3 linked regions of the Arabidopsis thaliana genome follow. The protein of the gene in region 1 interacts with the protein of each later gene in a pairwise test. Each region holds a gene or a part of one and is shown in the gene's direction. Other genes may lie near its edges. The genes, in order: AT3G12130, AT1G12440 and AT4G14490.

Region 1 (11,405 bases):
CATTTTATTTTATAATACCCATTCAATCTTATTGATGATATTTGAAGTCTAAATAGTAACTTACACACTTTTTCTTTATTATAATTTAGTATTTAGAAGAAAAGAACAAATTTTTATCTTACATATTCAATTTTGTAATACAATTTAACTATCTATTTCATAAAAAACTCGATTTTAATTATATACACTTCATCTTACTTGATAATGATTTCATGTCAAAATAATATATATGAGATCAAATCTATATCTTAGTTAATATTAAAAATTATTAACAATTAACAAAACATAATTAATAATAATAAAAATTTTGTTAATACCATACATATTAAAAATTTGACCAATAACATATATAAATATTTTTGGTTAATTTTCCTTTTGGTTAAGAAAAATAAAATGTAATATTTTTTAGATATATATATATGAATTAGTATATGTTAATAATGATTTATTTTTTTGTTTTCTATTTCTTTAAGAAGAAAAAATTTAATTGATTTTTTTTTTAGTATTTCTATTTCTTTAAGAAGAAAAAAATTAATTATGTTCTTACACGTGTCAACATCTGATCGATAGACTTGACACATGGCATAATCCTATGAGTTAGTAATTTTCAAAACCATACTTTACATAACAAAATATATGCGATTCCATTACTCGATTTTTTTAAGTCACTTCTAGCTATTTTATATTTGAGCAACCGATAAACTAAGAACAGAACAAAGACAGAAGTGTTAGAATTGAGTGGTGCAGTGACGAACGTATGGTTAAATTATTGAATATCGTATCAAATAGTTAAAACAACTAAATAAAAATATATATATGCACCATGCTTTATGAGTTATGAGATGAATTGAATTTATGTTATAAAAAGGTTATTGTACGTTAGAACTTTTAGGAGTAGTGTAGAACCCAAACTGTACAAAATCAGTAACATTACACAGCTGTGTTCCATTGAAGTCTCTGTTATATAGATCACAAGTTGTTTAACTGCTCAAAGTAACCACACCCATGATCACAATGAATCTCCTTCTTCATCTCTCTATCTTCTTCTCCATCATCTTTATCTCTCCCATCTTCCTACAGTTGCAACCCAAATGACAATAATGCCCTCCTTCAAATCAAGAAGTCCCTTAACAACCCTCCCTACCTCTCCTCCTGGAACCCCCGAACCGGCTGTTGTACTGGCTGGATCGGAGTGGAATGCACTGACGGCCGCGTCACCTACCTCTACCTTTCCGCCAGTACAATCTCCGGAAATATCCCACCCGCGATCACCATGCTCAAGAGTCTCAACCTCCTCTTTATAAAACACACCAATTTCTCCGGTCCGATTCCTGATAACATCAGCGACCTCAAGAACCTCACGTTCTTGGACCTTTCCTTTAACCAATTTCCCGGTCCAATTCCCGGTTCGCTATCTCAGATGCCCAAGCTTGAAGCCATTGAGATCCACGACAATAAGCTAACCGGTTCTATACCAAACTCTTTCGGTTCTTTTGTTGGCAACGTCCCTGAACTCGACTTGTCTAACAATCAGCTCTCAGGTAACCATCATTTTTAACATTCTTTATTATTAATAAAGTTATAAATCCCGGGTTTTATGACACTCCATTTCAGGGAAAATACCGGAGTCATTGTCAAAACACGACTTCAACGCTGTGTTTCTGTCGGGAAACAGTTTAACCGGAGATGGTTCCATGTTTTTCGGACGGAACAAAACAACAAGACAACTGGATCTGTCGAGAAACATGTTTCAGTTCGATATCTCCAAGATTGAGTTCGCTAGGAGCATACTTACGTTGGATCTGAGCCAAAACCGAATCTTTGGTAAGATTCCTCGGGTGTTGACTACCCTACGAAGTCTCGAGCGTTTCAACGTGAGCTACAATAGTCTCTGCGGGAAAATCCCAAGTGGCGGTCGCCTTCAGACCTTTGAACCATATGCCTACTCTCACAACCTCTGTCTTTGTGGGACTCTGCTTAAGGCTTGTTGAATTGGTCTAATGTTGGCGAATTAAAAAATAATTAACGTTTTAACCATATGATGTTTGTGTTAATAATCATTACCGCCTGCCAAGTCAGAGGTTCCTTATTAAGAGAATTTAATATCAAGAAAAGGGTAAGAATGATGTTGAGATATTCAAAGTGTATCTCTATAATCTCAGTGTGCATGGTTCTACGTAAGTCTCGTTCTCGTATTGCAGGTTAGGATTAGTATATCATCATATGTCTCAATTCAACTAACTTAACCCCTTGTCTCGCAAGGGGGCATCTAGTGATCACATATATACAAGTGTTTCGTTATGTAGTAGCTAGCTAGTGATCAACAACGTACACTGATAAAAGTTTATTAGTTTCTTAGTTGTTATATCTAGCAATAGATTTGACAAAGTAAGGATTAAAAATCGATACTAAAATTTTTAATTTAATAATTTTTGTTTTACAAAATTGATTAGTTGGTGAAATATATCACAAGCATAATTTTAATCATTGAAATATATCACAAACATGATTTAGACTTTACAAAGTTTCAGAGAAACCATCCATACACAACAAACCATATATAATCAGGAACGATATACAAAACAATATGACTTTGTGTGACCAAAAAAAAAAAAAGTCAAAAGATATTAGGCTATATGGGCCGAAGTTGCTATTATTGGTGGGCCTTAGAGATCTTAATACCAAAACGAATCGTTTCGTCTTTAAAACGACTGTTCGGCGATTCCGACGCCATCCCATCTGAGTCCCGGAGAAATCGATCGTAGCTCTCTGTGCCCTTCGCTTAAAAAAATATCGCTTCTCTCGAGAGGGGAAGGAAAGTTCATTTCTTTTTGTCCAATTCTTTCAACTTCTCGTTCCAATCCCCTCAATTCTCCGTTTCACCGAACGCACTTCGAACCCTTAATTGCTTTTTGCGGGTCAAGTTTCGATTCGAGCGTTTTAGGGTTTCGTATCTGAATCGGTCGACAAGATAAACCCTTTTGTGGGGGTTTCCTCTAGATTTCGAAAACAGAGGTATGTTAAACGTTTCTGCCCCTTTTGAATCTCGTTCGAGCAATTATTGAGTTAGGCGTTCGATGATGAACCTTGTGATAGCTAATCTGCGAATTGAGCTTGAGTTAGGCCGTTCTGGTTCTTACCTAATTCAACACCCTTACTGTTAGTTTTAGGCACGGAAGTCTTAAATAGGGTTTAGGGAATGGTTAACCGAGGTTAGGATTTAGGGTTTCGAAAAAAGTGTTCAGCTTCCGTGGTTTCGTGAATTAGGGGGAATTGTCTTGTCTTGTTTATGCTTCTGCAGCCTTTATTTTATGTTTCCTTTGGATTTTGTTCAATTCTAAAGTTCTTCAGTAGTTGGCTGATAAATTTGTTATCATCAGCTTTCTAATTACTGATAGCAACTGTTTTCCACATGACTGTAAATCTCTAAAAGGGATAGCTTTCGTTTGGATGGAAATTCTCTGAAACTAAACTACATAGTGATATGGAGACACAAATTCATCAACTTGAGCAGGAAGCATATACCGCTGTTTTAAGGGCTTTTAAAGCGCAGTCTGATGCGATTTCTTGGGTACTCTCTTCCTCCTTTGCATTGATTGTGTTCTGTCAGTCTCACGACTTAATCTCTGGAATATATTTTGTTGTACCATTTCCGCAATTTAGGAAAAAGAAAGCTTGATAACCGAATTGCGTAAAGAATTGAGAGTATCTGATGATGAACATCGAGAGCTTCTCAGTAGGGTCAATAAGGATGATACTATCCAGAGGATAAGGTTAGATTGTTTATTTGCACCAGCATAAACAAAATTTATCATGAATCTCGTTTATTTTAATATATGTTGTATCATGGAACTGTACCAGAGATTGGAGACAGGGAGGCGCAAGCCAAATTACTAGACATGCAACTATTCAGCCTTTTGATGTTCTTCCTAGTCCCACTTTCTCAGCTGCCCGAAAGAAACAGAAAACATTTCCATCTGTAAGTCTTATATTCTAGCCGTATTTGCACCAATGATGGTTCTTTAATACTTTCTTCTGGTTAGCCACATTGTGTTGTTTTATGTTATTTCTTAACCAATTATCTGTGAGATGCAGTATAATCCATCAATTGGTGCGACTGGAAATAGGTCATTCAATAATCGTCTGGTATCCAGTGGCATATCAGGAAATGAATCTGCTGAAGCTCTGATCGGAAGAAAAGTGTGGACAAAATGGCCTGAAGATAACCACTTCTATGAAGCAATTATAACCCAGTACAATGCAGATGAGGTACTATTTTTGTTCATTGAGTGTAGATTGCTAATTGGGTAGATAGATGGTTTGTTGTCCCTGCCAATTTTTATAGAAGTCTCTGATTATCTATTGGATTTGCAATTTACGCACTTGTTTTATTCTCACAGGGTCGGCATGCTTTGGTGTATGATATACACGCAGCTAATGAAACGTGGGAATGGGTTGATCTCAAGGAGGTAATCGTTACATGAACATTATCTTAATATTCTTTGCCTGTGGTTGCATATGTTTTCGTAAGCGATCTGGTGTCTGTACATACTGATGATCTTGATAAGAGCTGACATTATTATTGTTTAGATACCACCGGAAGACATAAGATGGGATGGGGAGGAGAGTGGGGTAGCTTTAAACATTGGACATGGAAGTGCATCCTTCCGTGGCAACAGAAGAGGCCAAATCCATGGTGGTAGAGGGAGAGGACCAAGAATTCATCAACCAAGAAGGGAACTTGTACCGCCACCAACACAACAGAATGGTAGTGGTGGGCGGAGAACTTCCTCTGATGATATTGAGTTGTTCAACACAGACTCGCTTGTGAAGGAGGTACGTGTTTTTTTATCTGCTGTATACCCATTAAGCTCAATGCCTGCTCTAACATGAAATTTTTGTTTTAGGTGGAGAGAGTTTTCGATTCTACGCATCCTGATCCACTCGAGCTCGACAAGGCCAAGAAAATGCTCAAGGTTTGAGATTAATACCTTTTGTATGTGGTATAATGTTGTGATCAGAGAACAATAACACTAGTTTGTGATGCAGGAACATGAACAGGCACTCATTGCTGCCATTGCAAGGCTTGCTGATACTTCGGATGGCGAAATGGGTAATAATAACAAAAGCACGCTACGTTTAGTTTGCAACCTCAGAATAATATATTATTTACCATTGAATTTTTGTGTTATGATGATAATATCAAGCATAATTACAAACTTAATCCTAGGAAAAATAATAAGAGAGTTAATACACACTTGCTCAGCTTGTGATTTCAGCGTAACTTGTAAACAGTTGAATAGCTTGAAATATAGGTCTTCTTCTTAACGCACACTTGCCCACTTCAGTGTAACTTCGTAAACAGCTGAATAGTTGCCCAGCTTCTTGAACCTCGATTGCATACTTCTTCCTCATGTTGAATCTATAATTGATTTATCTGCTTGTAACTCATCAGATGGAGATCCACCATATTCGCATGATCATCCAATGCCACAGGGATGAGAGAAAAGCTGTATGTTACTCAGGATTCTGTGGTCATGAAACCCAAAGGACTCTGGATTTAAGAAGAAACAATGTGCTCGGCTGACAAAGAGGTTGCTCAGAAGATGGAATAGTGAGTTTCTTCTAAATTGGTGTCAGGAAAATGTATGAAAATTAAATTTGTTAGGGAATGGAAAGTAGGATTTTGGTTGTAAGCACAAGTATTTGTTTTAGAGAGTGTAACCTGTGACTATGATTGACCATGTAAATGTTGCTGAGTTTACCTCCAAGAGATAACTAGACCTGCCATGACAATGCATACTGTAAGGTTAACGTGTATGTAGCCTTGTTGAGATGCATGCTCAAAGTATCCTTGACCATAACATGCATATTACATTGCACAATAAAATCTGAATTTGCATAACAAAAACACTGCGTTTAGCAAAAGAAGCACCTGGTTTCTCGTAGAAATAAGTTCCACAAATCCTTCAATGCGGTCATAGCAGGCTTAAGGTGATCATCAACATGCTAACGAGGAGCTAATCAGATGATGCATTCATAGCAGAAGACATAAGAGAAGGTAGAGAAAACACTAACCCCCTTGCAATTTGCAGCGGATTTCATTCATCTTCGATCTAGCATGTTTGATTTATTCAATCGAATTCTTCTAAATCAGCTCGTTGCGATTTCTTTGTAATCCCTACGAGATAACGGATTTGAAGGTATTAAGGTCCCAAACTACTTGACAAGAGCCGGAAACAAATTCGACACCAGAGACCGATGATGAAATAAAGCTATAGAGAGCAGGAAATATGTAAAAAATCAAACACAGAAAGCGATGAATCAAACAAAATCCTAGCTCAAGAAGGAATTTTATAAATACCTGGAGACGAAGAACCCTCCTTAGAGAGATTGACTGGGATCGGGTTTCCAGTCATCATGTAAGCTGAGAAATCGCAGAATCGGGAGGAATAACGGAGAAGAGAGAAGAAGAAGAAGATGATCGGAGATTATGCGATTGTTAGAAGTCGAGAGAGAAAGGGGAAAGAAGAAGCTGTCAATAATAGAGAATTGTAGAAGCAACGTAGATATTCTTTGACCCGTTTACCTTCTTCCTCTTTCTTTTTTTGCCACGCATATCTTCTTTTTTTCCCAATTTTTACTCTATTTTTTTAGAATAATGGAATTTGTTCTAATAAAATTAAATTCATTAGGTATTATTTTTTATTTGATAATATTAAAAGGATTTTTTTTATAAAAAAAAGGAAACTAGGTAGATGACAATGAAAATATTCACCATTTTTTTCCCAACTAATCCGTGTTCTTTTAGATTTGGCCTAATCCCTCTAAGTAGTTATATTTTGCCTATTCCCTTTCTATCGTCTATTCCTAAAGAACAAACATGTAATGCATTCGTTTGTTCTCCCAAAGCCTAAGCAAAGCTTCTTTGGTATTCCTCTCTTAAGAAAAAAAATACAATGGTGCAATATGATTTCAAGAATATAAGTGTCGTCCCAATCGGAAACGAGTTTGTCGATCTCAGTCTTTCCCGCGTTCATCGTCAGACTCCAAATATCCGATCCTTAAACTGATCCCTCAAACTGATCTTAATAATGATCATAATGCTTCAGACTTGTTGGTTGATTCAGACGTTTTGTTTAGGCTTGAGGAATTGGCACATGAAGAAGGAATCAAGAAGGCTCATCATGAGAAACAAGAAGATGATTTTGTGATGGCCAAGGTACATATTAGGGAGGATCACAAGGACCAACTTGTTGCATTTCGCAAGAATATTCAACCCTTGCTGATTTTAATAGCCTTAGCATTTTTGGCTCTTGTAGCTGTAGGGAATACTTATCAAGTCATTCAAGAGTGTCTTTAAGCTTTTGAGTCTCTTTGGCTTATTGAGTTTTATTTTTGTTTCTTCCACATTTTTTCTTTCAATATTTAACATTTTTTCTGTTTACAACTGTGATTGGTAAAACAGAAACCAATCAAATGCTTCCACAAATCCCGAATAGTTATAGCTGACATTTTTATTGATTGCAAGTTTCATAGTCATTATCCCAAGATTTCAGTAACTTCGAACTGAAATTTTGTGCCATTAAAAGAAGTTGTGGGCCGTTAATGGGCCGGTAAAAGTTCCATTTTGTTAATGTTACAAAGAGATCAAATAAGGAAAACATGACGTCATCCATTTGACATTTTAGCTTATCGTAAACAGGCGCACCGCTTACTTCACGGCCCACGTTAAGCTAAATCTTTCCGGTTTATTGTCCTTTACAGAGAAATTTCGGTTTACATCTTATTTTGTGCACTGGGCCACGCCGGTTTAAGTTCCAATAAAAAAAACCGGCAAGAGTAAACAAAAAAGAGGAAAATCTCATCTTTTTCCCTCGACGACAACCACCTTAGGGTTAGGTTTATTTTCTCGCTTATTCTCTCTAACTCTTTTTCCCTATTCCGATTTCGATTTGTCTTCTCCGATTCGCTTTTCCTTTCGCTCTCTAGACTCTAGAGTCAATTTGATTTCTACTCTCGTATCGGATCTATACTTAATCATGGATACTCGTAAGAGAGGACGGCCTGAAGCTGGCTCATTCAACTCCAATGGCGGCGGATACAAGAAGTCTAAGCAAGGTTAGTTCTTTTACTCTTTATCTACTGGAATTCTGTTGTACCGATCTTTTTTAGTTCCTTATGTTTCACTGTCTCTGATTAAGGTTTAAATTCGAGATCTTAAGTTGTGGGTAAAATTAAGACTTTTTTTTGCTAGTTATGAGATTTACTAGGAGGCAAAATTTTCTTCTTTCGTTCTCGGTGCTTTGTTTTGGTGATTTCGTGTTCTGTTTGCTTACTTATCTTGTTAATTAGCTAGATTACTGCAAAAAGTACTGGCCTTTTTTATCTGATGTAAATCTAAATTGAGTGATGATAGATCAGCTTTAGCTAAGTTGTTACTATTGTTAAATGTTAATTACTGGGTTTTGTTGGTCTCAAGCTTATATCTTCCACTGTCCTTGAGTTTTAGTATTTCTTTACTTTAATCCCTCTTCTCAAATATAAAGCTAATAACAGTTTATAACCATACCAAGGATTTAGTTTTGTTGATTGAATAAGCCTTTTTCCTCTGCAAAGTGTTTTTGTGTCCAGTTGGTTAGTTATCCTGAAAACATTAAAAAACATTATGCATCTTTTGATTTGAAAGTTTCATATAGATGATAAGATGAATGTATGAATGATATGTTGGATTCTAAAAGCAATATATTGAACTTCAGATAAGTTTTTAACTAAAGGAAAACACTTAATGTTTGGAACAGAGATGGAATCATATTCAACTGGTTTAGGAAGCAAATCGAAGCCATGCACAAAATTTTTCAGGTTATAATCCTTTTACTTAATGAATTAATATTCGAATTGTTATCTACCTGCAAGTTTGATCCCGAAATTACCAAGTAATACTAGATGCTAATGAAGTGGTTAGTTGTTATACAGGTATGTAAACATGTTTCAATCTGAATAGATAAGCGTATCTAGTTTGAGAATCATTTAGTTCAACTGGTTGTTATAACATAACAAAATCAACCAAAACATGTATTTTGTTTGAGCTGTGATAGTTGTTCTTCTATTTGGTGGTAGGGTATTAGTGATTTTGGGTTTATAATATAGTTGTTTATGGTCAGGTAAAGTTGTCGCATTACTAGTGGAATTGCCGCGCATCTATAAGCAGAACCGGATTACTATTTTTATTCTCTTATAGCACAATGATCATTGCTGTATCAATATGCTATTTCTTCTGTCTCTATTTGGTTTGTTCTTGTGCTATTCTATTCCCATTGTGTTTAAATCTCTGATGTATTATGCTTCTATTGCAGTACTTCTGGCTGTCCTTTCGGAGAGAATTGCCATTTCTTGCATTATGTTCCCGGAGGATACAATGCTGTATCGCAGATGACAAATATGGGACCACCCATTCCTCAAGTTTCCAGAAACATGCAAGGTTCTGGTAATGGAGGCCGATTCTCAGGGAGGGGAGAGTCTGGGCCTGGCCATGTCTCTAACTTTGGTGACTCAGCCACTGCCAGATTCAGTGTTGATGCCTCTTTAGCCGGTGCAATCATTGGGAAAGGCGGAGTCAGTTCAAAGCAGATATGTCGTCAGACGGGAGTAAAATTATCAATTCAAGATCACGAGAGAGACCCAAACTTGAAGAACATTGTGCTTGAAGGAACACTTGAGCAGATAAGCGAAGCGAGTGCAATGGTAAAAGATTTGATTGGGAGGCTTAATTCAGCAGCTAAGAAACCACCTGGTGGTGGTCTTGGTGGTGGTGGTGGCATGGGTTCTGAAGGGAAACCACATCCAGGGAGCAACTTCAAGACTAAGATATGTGAGAGATTCTCAAAAGGAAACTGTACATTTGGTGATAGATGTCACTTTGCTCATGGGGAAGCAGAGCTACGCAAGTCAGGAATCGTCTAGTTGTTGCTTGCAGATAGAGAATTTGCTGGTAAAACTAGTTTCTTATTTAGTGGTGGTGATATCTGATATCATCTTCACCTACTTTGTTTTTGTTTGTTATGAGAGAATACAATTTTAGTTTCATTATCATTGTAAGTCTATTTGGTGTTTTTTTTAATAGTTTAGTTTTTGGTTAATTCTGAGTATGAATTGAGATGGGAGGAAGCTTGAAGAGAATGATTGACAAAACTCAGAAACAGTGGTTAGGATTGTATGACGCCTTTTATTCATATTCTTGTTATCTCCGTTATGTCATGTGTGTGAATCACTTATATAATTTTCGTAAGATTTTCTGAATATGTTGGAGTCTTTGCTAACTGTTTGAATCGAGATCAGTTAACACTTATTAAGAACAAAAATGTGGTTTCTTGTGAGAAAAATGGTTTAATAAAAATCCGTGATTGATAGAAGAAAAAGATCAAAATAAATGGTTGGTGACGGGTGATCTTAAAAATGTTGAAATTAAGGTGTGTCGTCGTTATACGCGGTAAATAGATAGATAGAAAAATAGAAGTCCAATGCAAGAGACTTAACTTAATCATCCCAATTAATTGATTGCATTAACTTGTACTTGTATTTTCCGTCCGCCACCTAATTTGATTAATAATATAATAAAGATTACAATTGAAAACATAAACAAGAGAAAATCCGCACGAATCTACCAAAGTGCATCACGTTTGGGTATCCATACACGTGACCACCAGTCCACCACAACACAATGTCTGTAGATATTTTAATGTTTCACATGATAGAAGAAGCCAAACGTAAGAACTCTCTTTTCCACTTTTAGCCCTTTCCCCGCCTACCACTGCTTACGACTTGTGTAAGTGGCAAACTAGTAATAATAGAGACGAAACTTAAATATAAAAAAGTTGAATCCAACCAAGTTGGTGTTAATCAAATGGTTAAGTTATAATGGTGAAAGATTTGCCATGTGTATTGTATTAAGAGTTAAGACCAAGGTTTGGTTCCCATCACTTACGATTCTTTCTTTTCATATGATTCTAAAGTTAGTTATTATAAACATCTTAATTTACTACACAATATTCGGTAATTTCTACATATTTTAGAGATTAGTTTGAGTTTCAATCCATACTTTACTAGTGATTATAAATTAATATACGTACTTTTCGACTATAAAGTGAAACTAAGTAAATTAGAACGTGATATTAAAAAGTTAATGTTCACTGTTATATTTTTTTCACAAGTAAAAAATGGGTTATTTGCGGTAAATAAAAATACCAGATATTTTGAATTGATTAAAAAGGTTGAAATAAGAGAGGAGGGGAAAGAAAAGAAGGTGGGGGCCCAGTATGAAAGGGAAAGGTGTCATCAAATCATCTCTCTCTCTCTCTCTCTACCTTCGACCCACGGGCCGTGTCCATTTAAAGCCCTGTCTCTTG
Region 2 (10,633 bases), on another chromosome or scaffold:
CCCAAAAGAATAAACTTATCTGCACATTTCCTATGCAATCTTTGCTCAAAAAAAGGGAAAAAGCTTCATCATGATCCAAATCCATTTCTGATTGATTCAAGAACCTGCACAACCTCAGCCATGCTCGGTCTCTTCAGTGGATTCTCGGACGTACAAAGGAGTCCTAACTTCATGACTTGAATCAGCTCATTCTCTTCAAACTCTCTCAACCTTCTGTCAAAACAATCAGAAGCTGAACCAGTCTCCAACAAATCCCTCACATAGTCTCTCAAGATCAAGACTTGGTTTTCCGATGGAGACTCCACCGGTTTTCTACCTGTAACCAGCTCAAGAAGAACCACACCGTAACTATACACATCGCATTTCTCACTCGCTCTCAAACTCTGCTGAGCTAACTCTGGAGCAATGTACCCAACCGCGTTGTGGAACTTCTTAGTCAAACCAAAGCTGTCCATAACCGGAAGAAACTTTTCTAACCCATAATCCGATAGCTTTGCCTCGTACCTTTCGTCTAGAAGAATGTTGGTGGACTTAACATTGAGATGAAGAATCGCCGGTTTACAGTCATTGTGAAGGAAAGAGAGCGCTTTTGCAGTTCCTAAAGCAATCTGAAATCTTCTGTGCCAATTCAAATCAGTATTCCCATAGCTTGAGCTGGTTCCCGGGAAAATTCTTAGGTGTAGATTATCGTAGAGGCTACCATTAGGGACAAACTCAGAGAGAATCAACTGCATTGTTGAGGAAAAGTAGTAACCTTGGAAAGAAGACAGATTCGGATGTTGCAAACCTCCAAGCCGTCCAATTTCTTGCTCAAACTCTTCTTGGTTTCTGATTCTTCCTAAGGTCTCAAGCTTCTTCACTGCAATGGAAACTCCTCCTTCGAAAGATGCTCTATAGACTGATCCAATCGATCCCATGCCGATTATATTTTCCTTGTCGAGCAAAGCTTTTGTACCTGCCTCCCAATCTTCATACTTTGAAGGCAAATTCTTGCTGAAAAGAACAAGCTTTCCAATTATCACACCGCTAGAGTCAATCGAAGACGCCAGTGGAGTGGTTTCAACTGTAAGTATTTCTTCATCTTTTCTCCTTTTACGAGCTCTTAGGTTCAAAGCAAGCACAATGCAGACACCAAAGAGGATGACAGCAGCCGCAATAATAACGATGATAACCGAAATGCTTAGAGCATCAGAATTTCTGGATTTTGCTGCAGCTCCACGTGAATTGCAGGGAGTTACAAGAGGATCACCGCAAAGGAAAGGGTTGTTCGAAAATGCAGAAGATCCAAAAGCTTGTATCATTGGAACAGGAGGGATAACACCAGAGAGATTGTTATAGGAGACATTGAAATGCGTTAGAGTATTCAAACTCCCGAGGGAAGACGGGATTGGCCCTGAAAGCGAATTCTGTGAAAGATCAAGAAACTGGACTTTGGAGAGGTTTCCAAGTTCAGGTGGGATACTTCCGTTCAGACGGTTTCGATGCAGATCAAGAATCTTTATGTTTGTTAAGTTTAATAGCTTCTTAGAGATCTTTCCTTCTAAATCATTCCCTGAAACATCTCTGCAACCAACAAGCAAACGATTAACAACAATGTGAGATTCAAACACAGTAACAAGAACCGATAAATTCTCGAAAACATCGATTAAAACTTACAGTTCAAGAAGTACTCTGCAATTGGATATATCCTCTGGAACTTCACCAATGAGATTGAGATTATGCAGATTCAAAACCTGTAGAAACTCCAAACTTCCAATATCTCTTGGTATCACCCCATCTATAGAATTATTCCCTAATCTGATCACTGAGAGGCTCTCCATCTTCCCAATACTTCCCGGGATACTTCCATTCAGCTTGTTAGACTCCAAATCCAAAAGCTTGAGACTTTTGCAACCCATAACACCAGTAGGAATCCTACCGGTTAACTCATTCGACGAAGCATCCAAAAACTCCAAACTTTCACTGCAATCAACTATCTCTCCAATCTCACCACCAAATCGGTTCCAAGAGACATTGAAATAAGTTATGTTCTTGAACGTAAGAACCGCAAAAGGCGCTAATCCATGAAACAAATTGCTTCCTAAATCAACAAGAATCAACCTCTGACATTTCTGTATCTCCTCAGAGACATCACCAGACAACAAATTGTTTCTCACTGAGATATATTCAAGCACAGGAATATCACAAATCCTAGGCGGCAACACTCCCTTCAGATTATTGTAAGAGAAATCAAATCCTACGAGGTTGTTACAGTTTACAATTGAAGCAGGGATTGATCCAAAGATATTGTTATGAGCCAGTGAAACAAATTTGGTCTTGTCACAGAACTTAAACAGAGAAACCGGAATCTCTCCGGTGAAACCATTTTTAGACAAGTCTAGAAACCTTAAGCTAGACAATTCACTAATAAACTCCGGAATCGGACCAGACAACGCATTGGAACTAACATTAATCGTCCACAAAGTTTGCAACTTGAAGTAATCCAACGGTAAATTACCTGTAAACCTGTTGCCAAACAAGTTCAGAACTCGAATAAACTTTAGATTTGACAATCCCGGAGCTAAGGTTCCGGCGAGACTTGTGTTCCACAGAACGATTTTGTCCACGAAACCTTGTGGGTTACAAGTGATTCCATTGAAGCTATTGCAGAGGTCACCATCGGAAACCCAAGAAGCCAAGCTGTTGTATGGATCGTCACTGATACTGCCTTTGAACTGAAGCAGAATGTCTCGTTCACTGATGGAATCAGAGCGAGAAGTTGAAATGTAGATGAAATGAACCAAAACCAGAAAAAGATGAACCTTTCTCATATTCAGCTCATAAACGGATCCTACCCAATTGACATTATCGGTTCATGATCCAAACCCGAACCCGAAATTAAACCCGAGCTCCAAATTGGGATTTGTTCTCTAACACCAGAACCAAGAACAAGTAGCTGCATTTATAAAACAAAACCGTTGATTTTTCTTGGGATTGAGCTAAAGGTGAGAACTTTTGAGCTGCTTCTGCATTTACTTAGTCATCCTTAACGGCTAGAAAATTTTACCGACCAAAGTCAACATTCTCAAGAAACGACAAAAGAAGAAAGAATCACAGATTCAAGAGTATTTGCAAGTTTTTGAACAAAAAAATGGACAAAAGAAGAAGGAATTTGTTGTCAGGCTAGTCTCATCTAAGCATTATAGAGAAGAGAGTGTGTGCCTTGGCTGGAAAGTAAACTGGTGAATGTATTAAATTCAGTCTTTCTCACACTCTCTGGCTTCCACCAAATGAAGAAGAAGCACGTGCCTGCTTTGTTCAATCGTCTATATGTGTATGTAATGGAGGAGAGTGTCTGGCTTGTCTGTACTTCTTACCAAAGCATTTATTCTCTCCTTCACCAACCATTTTTGCCATTAAATAATCCCTACCTAATTCTTTTCACAAAAATGGAGTATATGAATTCTCAATTTTTCATGAAGAAAAAAACAAGTAGTTATGGTCCCCAATCTCAATTGGTGGTTACAAACATATTGAATGCATGATGAACAGAGAACTGTACATTTAATATTCGATTCAAATGATGAGATGTTATTTGGAGTAAGATAAATTACTTGTGAAGTAAGAATGAATGAGTTATTTTTAGGCAATGTTGAATGTTACATGGCTTATGATGAGATCATTGAGTGAGAGTAGGTTTCATTTTGTGAAATGCTTGGGGTTAATTCATTAGTTGAGGTCCAAATCAAACTTTTGGAAACTAATGGGTTTTAGAAAAAGGGAAGAGAATTAGAGACAGAGACAAGTGAGTGACCAAAAGTAAACGTCTTTCTGTTATTTGTTTGTTTCTGTAGCTTTTGTTCTCTCTGTTTTACTGAGTTTGTTTAATCATTTTGTTCTTCTTCCTTTTTTTCCATTTCTTTCTTGATTGTTTTGAAGATATTATTGTGGTTTGAGACTGGTGTGCAAGACATGGCTCATATAGTAAACGGGTTTGCTTTTTTTTTTTTTTAAGGTCTATCAGAGACTTTCATAGCAATATTTTCACTATATGAAGCCAGATTTGCTCCTTTTTTCGATGATTTTCAATACTTATGCTTAATTTTAAGATACGCTATATATTTTCTTCACTCGTTACATCATTATTCAGACCAAGTAATAAAAATTGCCAGGAAATTATTCCTTGTTAAATACATCAAACGTATCATATGATCCATATGAAATTGATCCAAACCTATCCATATGAAATTGAAGTTGGCGCAGTTGGTCCGACGGCCCAATAACGTGGCACTAAACCCAAACATCACAGAGGTTCTCGCGTTGACTACTCTGTCAACAAAACCGAAACAGATGACGTCATCATTGACACTCAGCATCGAAGTTAGCTCCAAAGATCATTTGATACATAAATTTCATGGAACATAGGAGGACACACAGTCTTCATGGATCATTTTTGTTTTTACTTTTGAACAAAACCCAACAAGACATTGTTCCATGATACATAAGGTGGATTATATGCAAGGAAAGAAAAAGACTTAGATGATCTAATAAATATACATTGGAAATTTTCAAAATTCAATTGATACATATCATATATACAAGAGAAAAAGACATAAATATTCATTTTCAAATGAATAAGAATAACAAAAAAAAAAAAAAACATTATATATTATCAATTTCAAGATCGTGTTAGATGATGGTATGTTGTGGTCATGGTGAAAAGAGTTAATAAAGTATTGGATTTTGTAATGTCTCTACGTCCTCTGATTGCATCGCACTTAGCTTCTTCTTCGCATAGATTGTGCAGACTATAGTCGCGCTCGCAGTTACACAGAAGCCAAGAACATTCACGACTATCTCCACAACCGAAAGTGTGTGTCTCGTGTCTGATGCAACTGCTAGTGTCCTTAGCATTATACCCCTGCAAATATCCCAAAACAGAAAACCACCAGTCTTAAGATTCTGCAGAACATGCCTTAAACATTGAGACAAGAGACATAGAGAAAGAGAGAGAGGCATGTACGTGTAAATTGAGACAAAGATCTCAGGAACCATTCCAACAAGAGAGCCTAAGATATAAGGACCATAATGAACTCCAGTCGCTAAAGCGCAGTAGTTGTAAATGATGTAAGGAAATGGAGAGACACGGATTAGTGTGACTGCTTGAAACTGATGAAACCAGGTTCCTTCACCAGCAGCTCTAAGTATGGCTGCTTTTTTAGGGTATTTCTTCAACCATTCCTGCACAAATGACAAGAAAGAAAAAAAGTCCAAATTGATCATCTCATGGTACAAGCTTAATAATAAGTATCCGAACAAAGAGTATGGGATGATGATGCTTACTTGCATCTTGTGGAGGAAGAGATGTCCAATTAAGAAAGGAAGAGTAACACCGATGGAAGCAGCTGATAAAATCAGAAGAAACCCTTTTCCATAACCAAATGTAAGACCAGCCATCCACATGGAAGGGGAAGAAGGAAGAAGAATGCTTGGAAACAATGCCACTGAGGCAAATAGTAGAAGACCGAGAACCGGTATGCTGAATGTGTTTCTCACCCAATTTATAAATGGAATCAGCTCCTGAAACAAATCACACCAACATTAATGATGATAAATGAATAACCTTCCTTATAAACACATACTCATACATGTAATTCAAGAACCCTAATTTTCAACAATTAAAAACCCAGCAGAAACCAGAATCATTATGCATACCCTAATCCAATCAAATGTAACCAATAAGCATCAGATCTTCGAGAGACAAAAAAAAAACGAACCTTTTCAATCAAAAAGGGACCAACCCATTTGATGATAACAAAGGCCAATGAACCCAAACAAACGACCAAGGAGATCAATTTCACCCAGAACCAGACAGAAGTAACCGATCCTATCGGACATCTCGATGATTCCGCCGATGATCCTTCATCTTCTTCATTTGATCCTCCTCTCAATTTCAGATAATCACCATTATCGGAATCTTCTTCGACTCTCAATTTCAGCTCAGGCACCGTCCCATCGACGCCATTGCTGTACGTCATAGATCGATGCGAAGATAAAACCAAAAAAAGTGAATCCTTTTGGCTCTAAAAAAAATATCTCAAAAGTTTCCGTCAGAATCGTTATGCACCTCTGTTTGTTTTCCTTCGGTTTCTCGAGAAAATTAAACCGTTAGATCAAATGTTGTGTTGATCGGAGAGAGCGAATGGGGTTAGAAGAAAGAATCTTTATTATTCGTTTCCGTTCTTAGCTTTAAAAACTTTTAAAAAATGATATCCTTATAATTAGGTGGTTTAGTTTCAACTTATTAAACCGGTGTCGTAGTCAAACATGTGGAGACATATGAGTGGCTAATAGCTGTTGCTCCGTCACGAACCACCGATAAATGTGTAAGCAGAGTTGCTTTAGACCGGCGCTTTATTTTCGCTTTGCCGTTACGGTGCGTACATACATCGTACTGACAGAAGAAATACGTAACATATTTAATTATTGAAATTTAGTTGCTTGAAGGCAATTTATATATATTACGGAGCATAACATAAAAGAAAACGAGAGGATCGAACAAGAGAATGAAACGCAACCAAAGTTGATACTTGTAAGCAAAATATAAGAACAAGACTCCCTGTAAAAATGAACATATCGATAGATGATATATAGATTAGATAGCTACGTTTTGAAGTATTAATACCATACCAAAGAGGAGCATAAGAACTAAGAAGCTTATGGACCCTATAAACAATTCACAAACTATATCAAATTTAATTTGGTTGTGGACCTTATGGTCAGTATTGGATCCAAAAAAAAGGATGCAGTCGCGAGTGAGAGTCGCTTGCTAATATAACGTCTTGAATGATAGCGTTCGATGATTTTGGATTTCGATTAGTCGTTTCCAAACCAGATAAATGGAAATTGAATTAGTCTCGATTTTAAGGACAAGCATAAACAAATTATAGCTCAAGATTAGATATAGTGGTGTCCAAAACACTTTACGTAAATTAAAACGATTTAGTCATGTTGATATTTGCAAGTAAACTCAGTGAGAAAAGACCTGACCACTTTTAAAATCCGGTCGTTTTAGCGAAGAAAAGAAAGAGATAATTGAAAAGGCCCAAGGAAGAAAGAGTACATTTGGAACAACATATCATCACATTCCGATCAAATCAAAAGAGCGATGGACTAATCGCGTCGGGACAAACGCGCCACCTTTTTTCTTTATCCTACTGTTACGTCACCGTCCAACCAGCTAAGCATGTCCCCACAAACCAAACCCGGTTCATATAAAACCGATTATCTTCACGAACTCGAACCAACTTTATCGTAATCCACAAACACCATAAAAAGTTGATAACCCCACCCATTTTATATCCACTTTATCTCATCAAAAAACTTCCAATCACCACCGTTGGATTAGTAAACAATGGCGTCATCACTCTCCGATTGTTTCATCGAACGAATATTATCAGGGATGTATTAAATCTTCCGTGCGCCTTACCGCATATGAATAAACCATTTGACCACAAAGACAAATGCAAAAGAACTAAAAGAGTCTGGTTTCTGTTCTGTCCTAATTTCTCTCTGGCGAAAGCTAAGAGGTTTCGGTTACGGTCTCCATCTCCGATCAAATCACGAAGTTTCTATCGGAAATTTTCAGTGATACATACCGTCAGAGATTTTCTTTACGAGAGAATTGTCGCCGACATACTAAAGCAGAGTTTTGGGTGGGAATTAGGTAAATATCTTATTGGTTTTGTTCTGTGCCGATATGCAGATTTGTGTTCTTCGTTTGAATCCTTCATCTATTCTTGAACCATTCGATTTAAGTTTTTGACGGCGAAGATTAAACAACTCTTATCTATCTCTTTTTTGTCCTTTTTTGCGCCGGAAGGGTAAAGTGGTCTTTGTGAGATAGACGCTGACCTGGTCTTAAGTGTTGACAAATGACGCATTTACTCTTCGACTTTATAAAGAGTTCCAAGGGTATTTTAGTCATAAATGAGAAATAATTTTAGTCTTTCTCGCTTGAGAAACAAGCCAAGAATCTCCGTTTTCTAAATCTTTCGATATTGTCAATTTCCCTTTATTTTCTCGACGGAATCATAAATAAAAACCCTAAACCTAAAGTCACAAATTCATTCTTCATCTGTTATTCACGATTTGTGTTGTCTTTTCTTTTGCAGTAAGATTTCGACTTTGGAATTGGGAGATCTTTCCATTATGGGTTCTGAGCAAAACGACAGCACAAGCTTCTCTCCTTCAGAGCCAAAGCTCTGCGTCAAAGGATGTGGCTTCTTCGGATCTCCATCGAACATGAACCTCTGCTCTAAATGCTACAGAGACATCCGAGCCACGGAGGAACAAACCGCTTCCGCTAAAGCCGCCGTCGAGAAATCTCTAAACCCTAATAAACCCAAAACTCAACCACAACAGAGCCAAGAAATCACTCAAGGCGTCCTCGGATCTGGATCGTCTTCCTCATCAACGAGAGGGGGTGATTCGGCTGCTGCTCCGTTGGATCCACCGAAATCGACGGCTACGAGATGCTTGAGCTGTAACAAGAAAGTTGGCGTGACGGGTTTCAAGTGTAGGTGTGGAAGCACTTTCTGTGGAACTCATAGATATCCAGAGAGTCACGAGTGCCAATTCGATTTCAAAGGAGTTGCGAGAGAAGCTATTGCTAAAGCTAATCCTGTGGTGAAGGCTGATAAGGTTGATAGGATATGAATTGGTGAAGAAACTGTTGTGTTCTCTTTTGTTTTTTTATTTTCAAGTCTCGTGATGTTGGTGGTTTGGCTCTCTGTTTTCTGCTCTTATTATGGTTTTATTTGCTTTTAGGGTTTCTTAGGAAAGGCCTTAGATTCTGCTATTATGTGGTTTCATGTTTTGCAACATTGGATTTGTTGTTCTGTAATAAAGTGTTGGTTATATTATGAAATTGTGTTCTTATTGGTACCAGCTTACTTCTTCTTACTTGGAGAAGTTGAATTGTTTGCAGATATAGGATTCTCTTGGTTATGAGGCTTATGAACTAGTTGGGGGTCGTAAATAGCTTATGGTGGATAAAAGTGTGTAGCTTGATAGTTCTGAAACTAAAGATGTCGTATAGAGCTTATGGTGGATTCCCCTGGTTTGTTTATAGTGGACGAACAAGTTGGGGTTTGTATATAGCATTATAGCTTATGGTGGATAAAGTATGTAGCTTGAAATTTCTGAAGCTGAAGATGTTGTTCAGGGTATCTTTATCGAGTCATGGAAGATTTAGATGTGTCTTTAGTTTAGGTGTTAAGTGTCCTTGATTGAATGAGTCATTGATTTTGCTTTCTCTGTCTTAGCTGGAGAAAGTAGTGTTCTTCTTACCTGGACAAAGTTTGATTCACTTAAGAGTTGTGGGACTTAGAGTAAGTGGAGTTTTTATATAGCTTATGGTGGATCCAATGAAGTAGTCAAAGTAGTTTACCTATATCGAACCATGGCAGATTAAGAGATGTTTAGGTGATAGTGCCCAGTGATTGAACGAAATCAGTGATTTTTGCCTGGTAGTGGCAGTATGCTTTGATAGCTTAAGAAACTTTAAAGACTTGAGGCTCGGTTTTGGCCATGATCGATTTGTTTGAACTAGTTGGGATATTCGGTGTTGTAGTCGATGACTGTAGATTGAATACATTCTGTCGTTTGTGTATACATATTCCCTAGCAATGATGCTCATAAGATTATTTCCCTGTGCTTGTATGATCTTCATCTCGTTGGGGTTATGTTTAAAGTGTAACCCATCAAAAGTTTTTAGCAAAAAGATGGAATAGTCAATGCCAATGCAGATCTTTGAATGGTGTGTATTGAACAATGTCAATATCCACAATCAAGTGCACTAGTTGCATCTGATCTATTTTTATAAAAGAAGTATCCATCCAAATTTTTTATATACTGTCTTCGCATACAACTGATTTTGATCTGAAATTTCACTAGATGAAACTGGATTTGATTTTCAATACGGTTTCTAAATTGTCTAAACTATGAAAAACTGTAACAAACAAAAATTGATATCAAAACTTAAGACTGCAACCGACGAGTTGAGGTAGACTATGAAATGATAGAACATATGTCCTTGGTGTGGGTAAACTGTTGCTTTCACTTTCACTTTCACTTCTTGATGGTTACATTACAATATTGGGTCCATTTTTCGGATCTTATCAACCAATTTACAAAAAGCAAAGAGAGAAAAGCAGTGCACTACAGTTTTCTTTATAAAACTTAACAAATGAACATGTAGACTTTTAGTTTTCAACTGTGAAACATGTTTTGTACTTCTTTGCTTTAGGCTTTATTATTTTTCTTTCTTATACATGAAAAAATAGTGGAACAATGAAGTACTTACTGCGACATTGCAACCTTTGGAAAAAACCACTTTCAGGCCATGATGCAATATCGAATGATCTGACGTTGCATCAGTCGTATAACCTTTTGTAATTCATAGTTTTACCCCTAAAAAAAAACAATTTTATATGAATTCAATTTTCGATTTTAAACATAAATTTTCGATTTTGGACATTTTACATGTCTAGAATATCTCCCCAAATCCTATGATCAATATAATAAACAAATAATGCTGAAATTAGAAAGAGAAATAACAAAGTGCCCTTTTATATTTTATAGAAAATAACTC
Region 3 (10,681 bases), on another chromosome or scaffold:
AACAATCATTGTTCCTGTCTGAGTGTCCTCCTCCAACGTTTTGAAGTTGGCAAGCATGAAATCCCATTTAGGTCGAAACTCATCATCCCAGAAGAAATCCCTAACAATATCTGGAGTTGCATCCTCAAACACAGTCCGGCTGCGATAAATAACAGGACCTGTCTGATAAACAATACGACCTATCAGGCTACAAACACAATTTGATCAAATGTTTCTATCATCTAGTATTTAAGAATTCCCCATTTCATTATAGCAAGAACACAGTTTCAAGTAAAATGTCACAAAAATGCCACACAAAGGGGTAAATGCAACAACGCATCACATCGTGCCCAAAAAGAACCAAAGCTAAACAAAGAAACACAATGTATACTACTAGACACCTAAAAATTGATCGTCTATAGCTATCCTTAGAAACATATCTCCCTCGTCATTACCAATAAACCTAAAAGCAGTGGTCTGATTCAGATGTCATTCAAATTACTCTAAAGAATTCATTTTTTCGACTATTCCGCCTACTACTCAATGACTTAGCTTGTTCCTTGAGCTACATCATTCAGGCGTAGCATAAGGAAACGGATACAAAGCAAGAGTATAAAACTTAGATTACCTCAGGCTCATGACGCCAAGCCTGGTAGCTCATATTTGGAGTAGTCTTATCCATCATAGATTGCCATTCCAAAGCTGCATTTCCAACTTCAAGCAGCTGAAGCAGATGCTCTAAATCATTCTCTGTCACAATATCCTCTGTCACCGTCCCGTTATCGCTACCTCTGCAAATATAACCAATCCATAAATCAACTAATGCAAAAAAAAAAAAAACCATTCTTTTGCCAATGCTATTGCGAAACTAAAAGATAATGCAAACACTATATACCTTATCTAGCTAAATTAAAAGTAAACGTTACGTTTTAAAACAGAGAACTAAAACTTCTACATCTTCCAATAATTAAGCATTACACTAACCTTGAGGCCAATCCTGATTCATCATTATCCTCAACAGGCGTCTGCGACGAAGCTGAACCGGTCGCCGATTTATTAGCTCTGGTGTCATTCCTTGACCAGATGGTTCGGCAAACGGAGAAAGCAGAGAGAGCGGTGAAAGCAAGCCAAAGCCGACGAGCACCAAACCCAGGCGGTGCGGTCCATAAAAACCGAAGCTTAGAACGAAACCCTAAATAGATCAAACCGGTCCATCTTGGACGCCAAGACCATCCGATTAATAACCCGATCATAACGGCGAGCCAAATCGGAACTGCGCATAGTAAGATGTCGACAAATGTCTCTGTAAAAGAGGGATTCTTAAAGAAATTCAATAGATCAAAATAGGTCTCATCCATAGCGGATTCTCTAGATTCGATACTTTACTCCGATTTGGATAAAAAAATTTCCCGAGAAAAAATGTCAGATTCCCGAAGGAAAATGGGATTCGAAGATCGCTAAAAATTTAAGCGACATGAATCAGGAGAATCAAAGACGAAGACGAAGAAGAAGAAGAAGGGATAATAATAATTTTTTTCTTTTTATTTAATTGAGTTTGGTGATTTAATTGATTAAATCATAAAAAGAAAAAAATGTGTTCTGATATTATTTGCTGTGCTTGAAACGACGTTGGCGGGTGAAAGGAAATGATAAGGACAAGCATAGTGGCGATGACGTGGCGCTTTCGTTGACCGACAAGTTATATCCCACGCGTCAGATCTTAGCGCGTCGTGTTCACTACGTAGAGGAATATACTCAAAAATCAATTATTGTGTTAGCATTAGAAGCACGTTTTGTTGATTTGCAACAATTGTAGATAAGAGCCTAATTAATTTATAGGAGTAAGGTTAAATTTGGTTGATTTCGAATATAAAAGGGAATTTTAACAGTGGATATCCAAATGATGAGGTGAGATACACGCGAGGGTAAAGGAGCGTGAGGGGAAAAAGGTTGGAAAAAAAGTGGATAAGGGAGAGATAAGTTTGCTGAGAGATTCACGTGTGTTGCTGGAAGTTTGGGTAATCAATAATGCCAGTTGTTTAGCCAATAGTAGCTTTTAGCCTTGAAATTGTTTTATCGTCGAAACGATAAAAGCCCATTTAAGGCCCATTAATAATTGGAGCGTCAGACAAATCAAAATTTCAAAATTCGCATTTGGGAGAGAAACGGTAACAATGGTTACGCCATCGTTGAGATTAGTATTCGTCAAGGGTCCAAGAGAAGGCGATGCTCTAGATTACAAGCCTGGATCTACGATTCGTGTTGGTCGAATCGTTCGTGGTAATGAAATCGCAATTAAAGACGCTGGAATCTCCACTAAGCATCTTCGGATCGAATCGGATTCTGGGAATTGGGTAATACAAGATCTTGGATCTTCCAACGGTACTTTATTGAATTCGAATGCTCTTGATCCAGAGACGTCGGTAAATCTCGGAGATGGCGATGTTATCAAACTAGGTGAGTATACATCTATTTTGGTGAATTTTGTGATTGATGATTTTCAGGAGAAGAAGCTTACGAGGAACAATAGGCGTCAGGCTAATGCGAGGAAGCGAATTAGGGTTTTAGAAAGTATCAATTTGGGGGATATCACTGAGGAAGAAAAGGGTTTGGATGTGAAATTTGAGAACAAGCCGAGTTCTAGGGTTAGGAAAGTTAGGAAAATCGAGGATTCGGAGAAATTAGGGATTACTGATGGATTACAAGAGGATCTGGTGGAGAAAAATGGAAGCTTTAGGAATGTTGAAAGTATTCAGAGTTCATCTGTAAACTTAATTAAGGTTGAAATGGAGGATTGTGCAATGGTGGAGGAAAATTTAGGGAGGGGATTGAAGAAGAGAGTGAGCAGTAAGGCTACGAGGAGCAAGAAGATTGAAGAAAGTGTAGGAAAAGCTTGTTTGGGAGTGGTTAATGTAGAGAAGGTAGAGACTTTAAAGGAGAAGAGGATTACTAGGGCTACAAGAAGCAAGAAGATTGATATTGTTGGAGATTCTTATTTGGAATTGGACATGGTTCTAAATCGAGCCAGAAAGAACAAAGGGAAGAACAAGAAAGCGGATCAGAAGCCGTTGAAGAGCTTTGAAAATGATGAGGTTACTGATTCAGGAGAGCAGGGTTTAAGCTGTCATGTTGAAGAAGATATGAACAATGAACTTGATACAGATCTAAGAAAGATGACATTAGGAGCATTGTTCAGTTTTCTGGAGGGTCATCTGTCAAAAGAGATAATTCACAAGACAGAAAATATGATTGAGCCCATGCGAAGTAAAACTCAGAGAGTTCGTGAGTATATTTCAGATCAAAGAAAAGTTCAGGCTAAAGCGTGTATGTGTTGAATTGACAAAGTGTCCAACTGATATGGTGCACACTGATTATTGGTATAGCTTCAGTTCATGGAATAAGAAACACATACTGACAGGTACAAGTTTCTTATGAAGTAGACCTTAATGCTGTGGGATTGGCTGTGTTGCTTAGAGTTTTGACTGCATTGATTTACTTGCATTTGCTTTACGTGTGAGACAAAGTAAACAGTGAAGTGCTGATGTTTAAGTAGGTTTCATAAGTCTTTTGCCCACTTTATAGTATATGTTTCAAGGACATCCCTGAAGACTTATAAAACAAGTTCTGTTCCATTGTGATTTTATCTTAGCATATTGATGTTTGAATACTTGATCATTCATTTTACCAAATGTCAAGAAGGCTGACGTCTTTTCTCTAGTCTTTGTTTCCTTCTCATGTGGTCAAAGGCAAATGCAAGTTCTTCAGAAATGCCATGAAAAAAAAGTTGTAAAACGAGTCTAGATATCTAAATCTAGAACTTTAAATTTCTGTGAAATGATGAAAATAAATTTTCATAGCTCCATTTAATTTTTGTACCTTTACCGGTTTGAAGTTGAAATGATAGTGTTTGCCCTTTGGGTCCCTGGAAAGACCAAAGGTAAAATCTCATTAACTAAGGTTAGTTAGTTAGCTCTTTCACATGCTTCATCTTATTGTTTCATCAACATATTTTTAAGTAAGAGATAAGGGTTTTGCTTTTACATTAAAGGCTCTCTTTTTTTTCAAGTTCACATGCTAAACCAACTCTTTCTTTTTTCATCCCTATATGAATAGCCTCATGGTACTATTAGCCTCTAAAAGACCACAATTCCACTAAAAACATAACAATTCAATAAGCAAGAGTGTACTCATCTTCTTTCTATTTATGGCTCGGAACAAGCTCGAGTTCCCTCTTGATGCTGAAGCCTACGAGATCATCTGCAAGATAGGCGTTGGTGTTAGTGCTTCGGTCTACAAGGCCATATGCATTCCGATGAACTCAATGGTAGTTGCTATCAAAGCCATCGATCTTGATCAGTCGCGGGCTGACTTTGACAGTCTTCGCCGTGAAACCAAGACGATGTCTCTGCTTTCTCATCCGAATATTCTCAATGCTTATTGTTCATTCACCGTTGATCGATGTCTCTGGGTGGTTATGCCATTCATGTCTTGTGGCTCTCTTCATTCGATCGTCTCTTCGTCTTTTCCAAGTGGGTTACCAGAAAACTGCATTTCCGTCTTCCTCAAGGAAACTCTGAATGCAATCTCGTATCTTCACGATCAGGGTCATTTGCACCGTGACATCAAGGCAGGTAACATTCTGGTAGATTCTGATGGATCCGTGAAGCTCGCTGATTTCGGAGTATCTGCATCCATCTATGAACCCGTGACATCTTCCTCTGGAACAACATCTTCTTCTTTAAGGTTAACTGATATAGCGGGAACACCGTATTGGATGGCTCCGGAAGTGGTTCATTCCCACACAGGGTATGGTTTCAAAGCAGACATTTGGTCTTTCGGGATAACAGCGTTGGAGTTAGCACATGGAAGACCTCCGTTATCTCACTTACCGCCGTTGAAGAGTCTGCTCATGAAGATCACCAAAAGGTTTCATTTTTCTGATTACGAGATCAATACGAGCGGAAGCAGCAAAAAGGGTAACAAGAAGTTCTCAAAAGCTTTTAGAGAAATGGTTGGTTTGTGTCTAGAGCAAGATCCTACTAAAAGACCATCGGCAGAGAAGTTGTTGAAGCATCCTTTTTTCAAGAACTGTAAAGGACTCGACTTTGTGGTCAAGAACGTGTTGCATAGCTTGTCAAACGCAGAGCAGATGTTTATGGAGAGTCAGATTTTGATCAAGAGTGTTGGAGATGATGATGAAGAAGAAGAAGAAGAAGACGAAGAGATAGTGAAGAATAGAAGAATCAGTGGGTGGAATTTCCGTGAAGACGATCTCCAACTTAGTCCAGTGTTCCCAGCTACTGAATCAGACTCTTCTGAGTCCAGTCCACGTGAAGAAGATCAATCAAAAGACAAAAAGGAAGACGATAACGTCACAATAACGGGGTATGAACTCGGTTTAGGTTTGTCGAACGAGGAAGCTAAGAACCAAGAAGGTGAGGTTGTTGGGTTTGATAAAGATTTGGTGTTAGAGAAACTGAAAGTGTTGAAGAAAAGTTTAGAGCATCAAAGAGCAAGAGTGTCGATTATAATCGAAGCATTGAGTGGGGACAAGGAAGAGAAGAGCAGAGAAGAAGAGCTTCTAGAGATGGTGGAGAAGTTAAAGATTGAATTGGAAACTGAGAAGCTAAAGACCTTGCGTGCTGATAAAGATAGTGTTTTGGGTTAACTATTCTAAACTTGTTAATATTTTTTTTCTATATGCTAAAATTATATAAGTGGCATGACATTACGATCAATTGTTTTCAATTTAACTCGTTTTATTTGTCAGTTTAGAATGGCTCCAAATTAAGTTTTGGTAAACAAGTTATATATTCACCAAAACAACATATAAATATTTCCTCTTCATAAAATTTAATAAAGAACAATAAAGTAAAATCACAACAACAAAATGTAAAATTGATATGAATTACAAATACATATTCCCTATTTACTGATGTACTTCTTAGAATCAAATTTACTTTAATAGTCTACTAATTTGATTGTATTTTGCATCTTCAAACACTTTCATCTCGAAAGAAAAAAACTTAATGTTTTTTTTTTTTTAATGTAATGTTAAATTAGATTCAAAAGAAAAATGTCTTTTGTACAACAAGTGCAACGTGAGTTTGAAAAAGGCTAAATACATTTTAGATCAAAGAAACTAGTATAAATTTCTTGTTGCAAACCAAATTTGAAGTCCCGTCTCATGTCTTCTTTCTCCGCTTGTGTTCAGTGAAGAAAGTCGATCTCTTACTTGCTTGTCTATCCATCGGATTAAACGCACCGGTGGATTTGGTTGTTCGCCATGCCGCCGATTGTTACGTTTCCTCCAGATAGTATGAATCGTTGCTTGGAAGACATAGTGAGCTATGAACCGCTTTGTTCGATCTTGCCAATGACCCGAAGTGGCTGCAATCAAGTCATTCCAGTGAGTAGTATACTTTGCTCCATAGATGTTCCTTGTCAGAGCCTGCCAAATTTCTGAAGCGTAAACACAAGAGAAAAAAAGGTGATTTCTAGTTTCCAGCGTGTGATTACAAAGAGCGCATCCTGTGGAGAGTCCCTGTTCCAGCTAAGCATGCGATCTCCTGTTGCTAAACGATTGTGAGCCGCCAACCAGACGCAGAAAGAGAACTTGGGGGTCCCTCCTGCAAACCAGACGCTCTTGTGCCAAGTGACTACAGGCGAAGGTGTGCGAGTATGGTTCCAAGTATCTCGTGTTGAGAAACGTGGCCGATAAATATCCTTTCTCCCTTTCCAAAGAAAAATGTCCTCTGCCATCACTCTGTTTTGTTTCACCAATAAAGTTCTTGTTCAATGTTATTTAGAATTGCTGCTCGATGCGTACGTGAGCTCCTTCCGTCCCATGCCTCTGCAAGCGTCTTATGCTTACTAATCCCCATATCAATTTGGCCACGTTCGCCCACGACGTCAATCAATCTGCCCATGGTTGACCAATCATCATACCAAAATGAAGACCTTTCGCCATTTCTAATATCAACCTTAGAGAAATCTTTTGCAATGTTTCGGTATTTCAACAACTTTTTCCACATCCAAGAGCCTTGTTGTGCTGATCTAAGGGACCAGAAAGTGTTGTGCTTTAGGAGGTGGGTCTTAATCCACTTCACCCATAGCTAATCACCATGCGAGACCATTCGCCAAATAAGTTTCAGACAACATACATCATTTGCCTCTTTGATTGACCGCAGACCCAATCCTCCCTCTTGTTTTGGTCTACATATTGTATCCCAAGCAATCTTAGCCTTCTTAGTACTTAACTCTGGTCCTGACCAAAGGAAAGCAGAACAAAGCTTGTCGATTTCCCGAATACACTCACGTGGAAGCCTGAAAGCAGAGAGCCAAAAATTACATATACTCCATAAAACCGAACTGATCAAATTTAGACGACCCGCGTAGGACAAGAACCGGGCTGTCCATGTTCCTATTCGTCGTTTTATCTGCTCAAGAAGCGGGTTGTAGTCCTGAGATGTGAGTCTCTTGGTGACTAGAGGTAACCCGAGATACCGCACCGGGAGACATCCTACTTCAAAATGAAATTGTTCCTCAAACTCTTGGCGCACAGTATCAGAAATTCCTGCAAGATAAATTGTTGTTTTCTCCATGCTAATCTTGAGACATGATTGTTTTGCAAAACTGTCAAAGACCTCCACAATACCCTCAAGGGATCGAAGTTTCCCATCTGTGAGCACCATGATATCATCAGCAAAAGAAAGATGTGTTAAACCAAGATTTTTACACTTTGGATGGTATCCAAACTTCCTTAAGCCTGCAGCTCTGTCAAGCTTCTTGGATAGAACATCCATGACAATGACGAAGAGATAAGGAGATAGAGAACAACCCTGACGCAGCCCCCGTGAACTATTAAAGTATCCAGCTAGTTCCCCGTTAACCTGAACCGAGAAAGATGCTGTGGTAACGCAAAGCATGATCCAATGAACAAAAACTTGAGGAAAATCAAGAGTTAAGAGGACATTCTTGAGGAAGGTCCATTGAACTGAATCAAAAGCCTTGGAGATGTCAATTTTGATAGCGCAGCGTTCTGAGACTGAATCTTTATGATAGTCCTTGACTAACTCCGTTGCGAGGAGCAAATTTTCGATTAATAGGCGATGTTCCTTCATATAACTTTGGTCCTTTACAATGATTTTGAAGAATCTGGAAACCCTATATCAGAAATTCGTCGATTCTACATGAAACTCTACCCGGCCCTGAACGTGTTGCATAGCTTGTCAAACGCATTTAGTGATATCAAAATCTGACTCTCCATAAACATCTGCTCAAAATCAGATTTTGATATCACTAAACGTATTCTCAAAATCATTTATGCAGTAAACAAAAATATCACTAAACTTTAAAACCAACCCAAATAAGCAATCTGGGGGTTTGATTATGGGCTAAAATAGATGAATACGTTGGGCACAAAATACTAATTCCAATATATTTCATCTTGTTTCTACAAACCTGACTAACTGACCACCCAATCGGTTCTAGCTAGTCCCAAAACTTTGGATTTTGAACTTTGGTGATATTTATAGAATCATAAACAACAGTGGGATACCGGAGTTATATATGAATGTGAATTTGGTCATAGCCGATAGCCTAGTAGTCTAGTACCATAAATCCATAATACGTAATATAAAGAATAGTGTACAGTTCAACGGAACGGAAGAAACAAAAAAAGTAGAAATGGAATAGTAATTTACACATTGACAATAAAATACCACTTATATAACAAGTTTTTTTCAACTAAGTTTTGTAGGTAAACTGACCATCTCCATTGGGAGTATCTCATAAGAGTTTCTCACAATTAAAAAATTAAAAATAAAAAAAATGAAGGAGAGAGAGTGTACAAAGTTTCTCACTTGAGAAACTCCGAGATACTCTATACAATTCATCATGATAATTCTCATCTCACTATTGGTTCAATTTTTTAACAAAAATACTTTTTTAATCAAATAATCAAATTATAATATAATATTAATATTTTTTTTGTTTGAGAAATTTTGTGAGTTTCTCATTGATGAAGATGCCCTAAAATTACATAATTAAGCTTTTTCAACTAAGTTTAGAAGATAACATACGATGAGACAAAAAGAAAAAGTTTATTATGTGAATAAGATATCATGAACAAAAAAAGAAGAAGATGTGGAACCACATTTTATGTATTTCATTTTAATTTATACTACTAAATGTTGCAGTTTTTATGTAAAAATAAAATAATTTTGAAGAGAGGGTTGCCCGGTATTTACGGGAGGAAAAGCATGTACACGTGGGAGATGTTGTATCGGTCAAAGCTTCAGTTTCCTCTTTTGTCTTTTTCTTGTTTCAGTCTTTTTTTGCGCCTTTCCCATATTTCTTTCCTTGGAAATTTAACAACAATCTTTCCTTTTGTTTATTGTAAGCTTTTTTAAAAAATATATTTTGACTATCTAATCTCTATAAATTTTTCAGTTCTCAGTTTAAAAGTGTCTAAATTCAGCCAGAAAAACTACTGTAATAGTTGTGACATAGCGAATAAATGAAAGTTTTATATCTGATGGAATACTACTAAACAGGGCAATTTAAATATGTATACAGAAAATTGATATAAAAAGGAACAAGATTTTCCTTGGTTTATGATTTTTTTTTTATAAATACTTTTTTAATGAGGCTATTGGTACTCATTTACTTGTAATTTTTTATAAGAAAAATCACAACCAAAAATAATTTATTTACACCAATGAATGATTGTATTTTTATTTTAGTTTTTGAATAGTGGGACTCAAATTAATAATCTGATTGTATGTTTTTTCAATATTTAATATACGTTCATCCGGTTGATTTGCTAATGATAAACGTAAATGACACTTACTTTTCTAAGTTTCTAGAAACTGATTTTTTATGTGTTTTTGTTTCAAGCAAGTAGGTGGGGTTAGAAGATTATTATCCAATTAAAGGCCTTTAATTAAAGACAAAACTTAAGTTTTCCTTATGTTTAATTAATAAAAGTTAAAGAAAATATACAGAATAGGATGTGACTAGGATTAACTATAGACCTTTATGGCTTTATTTGGATTTTTCCATATATACCAATATTCTTTTAAAGTTACTTTATGTTTGAAACAAGTAAATATATTACTAATGCAATCACGAAGTGGGCAATGATGTAATACTTGATGGAAATCTTTTGTTTAGTTCAATCACACGAATCAGCTTATTAAGTATACATTTTAAGATTCCAACCAATTGTAAGTTAACTGATATTTTCGGTAACAAATGATTCTTTTGTTGGTAGGAAGTCTCATCAAAAATAAAGAAGAAGAGGATTTTTGGATGAGTCCGTCTTTAACATTAAGAAGCTAAATTAAAGAATCCTTTTTTAATTTGGAGGAATTATTAGGTGTTAACATTTTTTATTTATTGCATATTTAATCAATTTTTAGTTTAAAAATATGATCAAAACATATATAGTAATACTAATACTTAATATTAGTATCGTTGTATCACTATTTAAACTCAACATAATGTACAATAATAATAAAAAAAACATATATAAAGCTATACGAAAATGATTAATATCTATCAATTGTGTGGCAAGTAGATGATAGGGAACAAACATTTACTAGTAATTTCAAAATGATTTATGACTAAATGATTATTTGTATTGTGAAGAAAAAAATATTATAAAAAAGTTCATCCGCAGAAAAGAAAATTGTATTAA

What was found.
Region 2: the proteins of AT3G12130 (region 1) and AT1G12440 interact in a two-hybrid assay, tested with the Arabidopsis thaliana proteins (one large-scale study listed by BioGRID).
Region 3: the proteins of AT3G12130 (region 1) and AT4G14490 interact in a two-hybrid assay, tested with the Arabidopsis thaliana proteins (one large-scale study listed by BioGRID).

The regions. Positions count from the first base shown.
Region 1 is NC_003074.8:3,863,044-3,874,448, reverse strand, and holds AT3G12130 (KH domain-containing protein / zinc finger (CCCH type) family protein), read left to right. Parts: upstream 1-7,767; 5' UTR 7,768-8,042; coding exon 8,043-8,121; intron 8,122-8,801; coding exon 8,802-8,862; intron 8,863-9,356; coding exon 9,357-9,963; 3' UTR 9,964-10,378; downstream 10,379-11,405. Other genes in the region: EML1 (Emsy N Terminus (ENT)/ plant Tudor-like domains-containing protein), read left to right, coding at 3,485-3,571, 3,664-3,773, 3,862-3,979, 4,096-4,269, 4,401-4,469, 4,591-4,836, 4,908-4,976, 5,050-5,328.
Region 2 is NC_003070.9:4,239,880-4,250,512, reverse strand, and holds AT1G12440 (A20/AN1-like zinc finger family protein), read left to right. Parts: upstream 1-7,311; 5' UTR 7,312-7,705; exon of another isoform or gene 7,706-8,153; 5' UTR 8,154-8,190; coding exon 8,191-8,697; 3' UTR 8,698-9,092; downstream 9,093-10,633. Other genes in the region: AT1G12460 (Leucine-rich repeat protein kinase family protein), read right to left, coding at 69-1,563, 1,657-2,810; AT1G12450 (SNARE associated Golgi protein family), read right to left, coding at 4,705-4,900, 5,003-5,220, 5,323-5,559, 5,757-6,017. UniProt on the Arabidopsis thaliana protein: May be involved in environmental stress response.
Region 3 is NC_003075.7:8,325,047-8,335,727, reverse strand, and holds AT4G14490 (SMAD/FHA domain-containing protein), read left to right. Parts: upstream 1-2,148; 5' UTR 2,149-2,153; coding exon 2,154-3,314; 3' UTR 3,315-3,925; downstream 3,926-10,681. Other genes in the region: AT4G14500 (Polyketide cyclase/dehydrase and lipid transport superfamily protein), read right to left, coding at 1-162, 608-770, 964-1,337; AT4G14480 (Protein kinase superfamily protein), read left to right, coding at 4,184-5,647.